2 linked regions of the Drosophila melanogaster genome follow. The protein of the gene in region 2 purifies or fractionates together with the protein of the main gene of each other region. This does not show direct contact. Each region holds a gene or a part of one and is shown on either strand. Other genes may lie near its edges.

Region 1 (3,753 bases), on a different chromosome or scaffold from region 2:
GCGGAATTTAATTTCGAAAAACATATTACTTTATTGTTCACATCTTTACCCACCTTCCGATTCGAGTACATACGATTCCACTGAAGCCACTGAAGACTTACTTCACTTAAAGTACATTTTCTTCAACTTCGTGGGGTCTTTCTAGAACTTAAGACTTATTCTAACTTAAAAAGACTATAAAGTTTTTAAACATTCCGTTGTTTTGTCAAATTTGAATAATTTACGAATGTGAATTTGTCGCAGAAGTATTGCTGAGTATTATCTTTATAAATTTTTCATTTTTTAAAGTGACTAAAGAAACAGCTTTAATGCGTCTTACTTCATATTGGTCATCCCGACCACAGTGCACTGGTTACCAAAGTATGCGATAACAATAACATCGTCCACTATGTGGTCGTTGCTGGGGTTACGGGCAGTCAGTCACGGTCACGGCTGCAACCCCTCCGCTCCGGCCAAAACGAGTCCACAGAACAATGGCCAAGGACGAAGGGGGGGGAGGGGGGATTCAATAACAACAGCAGGAACAACAAACATTCTGCTCCCACGCAAGAGCAGCAGGAACTGTGGCAAAAACAGCTGCTGCAGGATCAACGAGGTGGGAGTGGATTCGAGGACTTTAAAACACGAGCCAACTAAAAATATTCAGACACGCCGAAGCGAAAATACCCTTTAGCAGGGGGTTAATTCAAGTGGGGTATTTTCCCCTTCTAGTGTTTTTCTTTTACCAGGGTAATCACAGATTCTGTTTCTGTGCACTTAAACGGGGTTTATTCCGTTTCTAAAAATATCAAATGTCTGGATTGACTTATTTCTTGGTATTTGACTAAAAATAAAAACAAATATGCAGCTTTTGGGAAACTGATTCCTTGTTGACACAATAGAAACCACCATATGACCACACCTTCCACGCTACTGCAATAACTAGAACATTTAGAACAACAAACAGAATGGCACTATTATCGGCAAATGATGGCGCATGCATAAAAATGAGGAGATCGAAAGTGGGTGGCTGGGGATGGGATAACCTTGTACTTCTTGAGATAAAAACAGTTCAGTATTTAGCAGCGGCTTATTCCTGAATGTTTATAAACAAATCGAGCGAGAGAGCGATGCATAAATGAAATATGAGGGGGGGTGAAGGGTGGTTGCAAAGAGGGTGACTTTTCGCAGACGCTGCGGCACCAACACAAGCAAAGCAACGGCAACAATTTGCACGTAAAACTCAGCTGCTGCTGCTGCTGCTGTTGCCGTTACATAAGAAACTCTTGCAAAAAGTGCAAATCTCAATTCGGTATGCAAATGGACCGCTGCCACAATGTACTCACCGTTTTTAGAAACTATTCAGTGGCCAAATTGCGATTCTGCTTTTATGCGCCAATAACAAACGGCTCTTCTCCACCGTTGTTGTTGCTCTCCTCCTTGTTGTTGTGGTCGCAGCTACTGCTTAGCGAAGCAGTTGTTATTGTTGTTGCGGCAACAGTAATTTGCAAGTGCACCGCTATTGTTGAATGTTTTTAGACGATTGTCATGCCAGTGGAAGCTTCCAGTCTGCGTCATTCGCGGAGACGCGTAGTTTCACGTTCGACGACACAACCGCTCACAGCGAATTTTGTTTTCGGACTAGAGCTGAGAAACGGCGAATTTTGGTGCTTCTGGAAACATCGATTAAACTAAAACCCGATAAGTATGCGACAAGCGGTCACACTCGGCGATGTGCGATAGGATTGCTGCATTCGATTATATAGTTATCGAAAAGAGCAAAGAGAAGCCGGAATATACGGCATTAAAAGTGCATTTTGTATTAAAATTAAGAAAATTAGTAACGATATACCGCAGAATAGGGAGACATGGCCAACGTGGAATCTATGATTGTGGAGGAAAAGACGCAGGTCAAGCAGATTGACCGCGAGAAGGTTTGTTTGTGACCCCGGTCATGTTTACTTCGCGTTTGCTCTAGATGTGTTAATAAGTTTATGTATTTTCCAGACCTGTCCTATGCTGCTCCGTGTCTTCTGCTCTACGGGACGACACCACTCCGTGTCGGAGTATATGTTCGGCAACGTGCCCACCAACGAGCTTCAGATTTACACCTGGCAAGACGCCACCCTGCACGAACTGACCTCTCTGGTGCGAGACGTCAATCCGGACACCCGGAAGAAGGGCACCTACTTTGACTTTGCTGTCGTGTACCCCAACTTCCGGAGTAATCACTTCCAGATGCGCGAAATCGGAGTGACCTGCACGGGTCAAAAAGGAATCGATGATAATAAGACACTTGCTCAGGCCAAATTCAGCATTGGAGACTTTCTGGACATCTCGATTACTCCGCCCAACCGACTGCCGCCAACCGCCAGGCGCCAGCGTCCGTACTGATTCTTCACTTTCATCTATTCTAATCATTTTAATCTTTCACTTGACACTCAATGGAGTATGAACATAATTATAAGTGGAATACAAGTAAGACGAACTACGAGCTGCTTGACTTAAGGGACTATATGTTGTGGGGAGTATCAGTTCCTGTAAAAGCCGTTCGGGCGCTTCGACTTCTTCTTGCCCAACTGCGTCATGTCGATCTCCAGACCATTGGGCAGCACGGCGCGATTCTCTTCGTAGTTGACGAACCCGTTCTCTTGTAGCTCTTCCTCGTTGTTGCGGTTGTTAGGATCGCACTTGATTCCAGTCTCATAGTGGTACTCACGTTTGTTGCCATCTGGATCAACGTAGCCATAGGTTCCCCTGGTGAACGAGAAGTTTGGGTAAGTGGGAGAAAGAGGTTGGATTCAATCTGTTTTACTCACTTGGTGATGCAATCGGTGCCGATCAGCTCCTCCTTGAAAGATCCGTCGTCGTTCTCATAGCCCCATGTGATGCTTCCGTCCTCGTTTTCCTCACGCCACTTGCGAATGGTCTGGGAAACGGGCTGACGGCGACGCTGCTGCTGCTGGTCAACGTGATCGTCCTGTAGCTGATTTTGATCAATGATGGGACGCGGCTGGACAGGCTTAGGGCGTGGCCTGGCCATAGGCTGTGGTGGTGGTGATTCAGGTCGTAGGGCAGCGGAAGACGCTGGTCTTGTTCGGATCACAGCCACCCGCTGGGGCTGTTGTTGCGGTGGTGGTGGCGCTGCTGCAGTGGGCGTAGGTCGCTCCAATCCGAATCTCTGCGAGTTCTCAAACCGACCAATGCCAAAATCATTGAAGGCGGCGGGACGGTTCAGGGGCGTCGGAATAGATGGCCGTTCAGCGGGGAAGCGCGAGGAAGGAGGAGGCAGGATGGCAGCCGGCTGTGAGTCATCGGACTGAAGGAACTGCTGCACCGGCGAGGGTTGTTCAACGGGTTGTTGGCCGGCCAGGAAGGCGGCTGCTGCCTGCTGGAACTGTGATTGTTGGGCCTGAGCCAACTGCTGTTCCCGCAGAAGGTTCGGCAGATATGGCTCCGGCTGCTCATCCTCCGCTGATTCCGTCACAGGACGCGGTTCCTCAATGGCGATGCGCTGCGTCACCGCTGGAAGTATGGTATTCTGCTGGCGCAATGAGGCTCCTGGACGGCGTACTCTCAACACAGGCTGTCGGTGGGGCACTTGACCAGGTGATGCTACCGCTCCGGGAATGCTCAGACGCGGGGGATAGTTTTGGGCCTCTGTCAACGCGATCGCGCTGCAAACGAGCTGGAATCGGAAGGGAAAAATGTATGTCATTAGTGCATTCCAAATGGGGATCAACTGTGCCAGTTGCCGGAACAAGGCGTTCCCAC
Region 2 (3,753 bases):
TGCGCCTCGTGCGCCCGGATGATCGACAGCAGGTTGTTGTTCTGCAGGAAGTCGCAGCAGGCGGCGTAGCTGTAGAAGTACGAGCATCCGCGCACGGAGTTGTGCGTGTAGAAGTCCGAGTTCTTCTCGTTGCCAAAGTCCTCCAGGGGATCGGACCACAGCAGGTCGCACATGGGGCCAAAGGCGGGCGGCTCCTTGAAGCGGTCGAGCCGCCGGATGTCCTCCAGCTCGTGTATCTCCGGCGACAGACCGCCGTGCACGCAGAGGAACTGCTGGTTCATTAGCGCCGCCAGCGGCAGGCAGTCGAATGCGTCCATGCAGGCGTCGTACACGCGCTCCGAGTACTTGATCTTGCACTCCTGCTTGAAGGTGAAGTACTCGGTTAAGTGCCGGCACTCGTGGTTGCCGCGCAGCAGGAACAGCGTCTGCGGATAGGTGATCTTTAGCGACCACAAATACAGGACGCACTCGATGCTGAAGTAGCCCCGATCGACGTAGTCGCCCAGGAACAGATACTTGGTGCTCGCGGGCGAGCCGCCCACTTCGAACAGCTTCATCAGGTCGTAGAACTGGCCGTGGATATCACCGCACACCGTCACCGGCGCCTCAATATCGATCATCGTCTTCTCCTGACGCAGCAGGGCGGCTCCGTCCTGGATGATTTTCAGGGCGGGCGCCTCCTCGATTCTGCCCTCAAGAATGAAGTGCTGCTTGAGCAGCTCATGGTTGGGCTTGCCGGTGCGTTGGTCGAACACCTCCGCCAAGGTCAGCTTGTGGCTGGGCGGGAAGGGAACGCTGTCCACCACCCGTTCCTTGGTGTTTACTGCCGTGTGGCCGCCGTGCAGCTTTCCAGTGCTCGCTCCTGTGCCCGTTCCAGTGGTGGGACTGCTGTTGTCGCTGTTGTTGCCCGCTGCAGCGGTACTGCTGCTATTATTGTTGTTGTTCGAGGCGGTACTATTGGCATCTGTGGCTTCCGCCGATCCGGCACTGACGGTGCGGGCACTTGTTGCCGCCTGGGCAACGCTGCTGCTCTGGTTATTCGAAGACATGGTTGAGACTTCTGTTTCTGTTTCGGTTTTTGGCTCTGCTTCTACGGCTACTGCTTCCCGTTTCCTTTTTCCTGGTTTCTATTCCGGGATTCGGAATCGGACTGCTCCTCTCCCGCTCCCACTTCCACTAGCTCGCTCTCCCGCTCTCGCTCTCCCGCTCTCGCTCTCTCACGGCTCAGTTCTGTTTCCACTACCCACACACACGCACACGCACACTCGCTCACTCACTCACTCACACTCTGGTACTTTCCCTGGCTGCTGCTGCTGCTGCTGTGTGGTTGTTGCTGCTGCTCCTACTGTTGTTGCTATTGTTGCTGTTGTTGTTGGAGTGCCTGGTGAGCCGCTTTATCGCCTTCCAGCTTTGATTCGCTTTCCTTTACTTTCCGCTGGCTTTGCTTTGATTTTGGAACGCTGACTCCGCTGCTTTCTTCCGTGGCCTGCGCCGCTGGCCTAGCCGTTTTCCAAAAGTGCTGCTTTCACTTAACAACAATCATAGTCACTCTGTTTCAGTATTTGCTACTTTTTTCGCTTCGGCCCTGCAGACGTCGTAATTTCTCTCTTTCGCTACGTTTTTTTTCTCGCTTTTTTTAATGGAATTTTCTGCAGTGTGGCCGTGGCTCAAAAGCTCAAACTTACTACACGGCCGCTGGAATGTGTACTCTAGTCGAGACTCGCACCTGGAATGGAAGTCATGGAAGTAGTCGAGTAAGGTACGTGCAAAATTATATCTTTCTCTGTATATTTAATATTCTAAATGAATACGCTTACTTTTATCTCCTTTCTAACAATATATTCACTTTAAAGATGTAGATGGTGGCGCAAAATTAAAATCTGAACAAATTCCGCACAGCAATGTACCACAAGGTGCTAAACTTTGATAATTATATCCAATTGGACTTGGTACATATTCAAAATGTCAACTGGAAAACATTTTATTTTAAAAAAGCTTAAGCTATCAATTAAGCCGTTCATCTTAATTATTCTTTAAACGTAGTTAACTAAACATTATAAAATGAATTAAAATTAGAGAATATGAGAGCCCAGATGCTGAATTTATCAATATAGGTAAAAACCTCATTATTGAAATTCTTGGCCACCTGTCGGTTTCGCCCCACTTACACTTACCTCTTCCTTAATTTTCGAGCAAATTCTGGACATTACTCACTCAGTCCACCACTTCTCCAGCCTTCTACTGGTGGATATGCTTCCCGGGATTAAATATGTATATGCTTATTCTGAAATTCCCCGGTGGCGAAATCGACTCAAACGAACTTTTAGAGGAAATAATAAATGTGCGCGCATTTTATTCTCAGGATAGGTACTTGTATATTTTTTTTAATGTTTTTGTATTTCTTTTTTGGTTGTTTTTGTTTTTTTTTTTTGCTTGTTCTTTTTTTTTCGTTTTTGTTAATATTAATTATGTTAATAACATTGATAATCATTTTGTTTTCATTGGGTTTCTTCATTTTGTTTTGCATTCACTTAAGGTTAAAACTTGTTGTCTGCATTTTGTTGTTGCCTTCATTTATTCTCCATCGTCTACATCTCCATTATCATCATCTTTATCTTGTAAATTAATTTGTTATCTTCCTTGGATTGCGTACAATTTTTGTCACAACGGCGCAAATTTTATGTAATTTTTGCCAGCCAGCTGCCCCTTGCAATACAGTTTATAAATTTGTTTATCCATTAACTTTGGTTTCGGTTTAATAATAAAATTGAAAATTTTTAAGAGATTTATCTAGATGTGATGTTTTCTTGTTTGTTAATTTGTTATGTTGCATTTTTAATATTATTTATTTGGTTTTTGGTTTTCCTTTCCCATCTTCCATCCATTTGTTTTTTGTTTTTCTTTAATATAAGTATATAAACTTTTTGCTTTGACAAAGTTTTTCCAACTTATATTTATCATACATGTTATATATAAATAAATGTTTAAATATATATAAAATATGCATTTAAATTGATTTATCCAAAAGGTAAAGTTTTAATTGTTTTTTGGTTTTTTCTTCACTTGGTTTTTCTTGTTTTTTTTTTGTTTTTGCTTTTCTTTGTCCATTTCTTTTTTGTTTATAATATATATTAAATTGTTTTCTTTTTCGTGTAAAGTTTTTAAAGCATTCGAGGGCAGGAAGTAGATGTTGAAAAATACATGTATCAAAAAAATTAAGGTAACGTATATAATTACATACATACATACATATGATGAAAAGGTTTTCATTCGCATTGCAATGGATGAGATGAGTGGAAACGAAAAACAAGAAATCTTCCCATTTTCTCTTTATTCTCGTTAAATTTAATAAGTGTATATACGATTATAAAAAAAAAAAACAATTGGTTAACAAAATGGCTTACTTAAAGCGACTTAAATATTTGATTGTACATAGTAGTTCAAGCTAATCGATAAACTAACAGTCTAACGGAAATTTAAAAAAAAAAACTCTAAAAACATTTATGTTCAATATGCGATTTATTCGATATCGAACTGAGTGTGGAATTGATTGTAATCGGCCATTCTAATTTTAACTTTCGGCTGAAATTTGAGTATAGTTTTTATGGGTATTTTTTTATCACGTCTTGGCTATCTTTAAATATCATTCTCTGGGTTTTGAAACCACTTAAAAAACTGCCTAGACGCGTGCTATGAAAGACTTTTCAAATCAAAATTGTTTTGTTTTTCATATCATACTAAGAGGCAGCTTTC

Evidence for each region. Proteins that work in one complex are often made in the same cells at the same time.
Region 1: the proteins of Pp2B-14D (region 2) and sra purify together in Drosophila melanogaster (affinity purification with western blotting; 2 studies listed by BioGRID, with this or other methods). This does not show direct contact.

What each region holds. Positions count from the first base shown.
Region 1 is NT_033777.3:16,184,872-16,188,624, reverse strand, and holds the start of sra (sarah), read right to left. Parts: upstream 1,627-3,753; 5' UTR 1,326-1,626; exon of another isoform or gene 1-1,325. Other genes in the region: Bin1 (bicoid interacting protein 1), read left to right, coding at 1,848-1,913, 1,987-2,373; CG8927 (uncharacterized protein), read right to left, coding at 2,511-2,736, 2,799-3,667. UniProt on the Drosophila melanogaster protein: Required for elongation of meiosis I spindle. Critical for ovulation, meiotic progression in oocytes and female courtship behavior, including their postmating changes. Regulates female meiosis by controlling calcineurin activity in the germline.
Region 2 is NC_004354.4:16,558,359-16,562,111, forward strand, and holds the start of Pp2B-14D (protein phosphatase 2B at 14D), read right to left. Parts: upstream 1,659-3,753; 5' UTR 1,050-1,658; coding exon 1-1,049. UniProt on the Drosophila melanogaster protein: Calcium-dependent, calmodulin-stimulated protein phosphatase. This subunit may have a role in the calmodulin activation of calcineurin.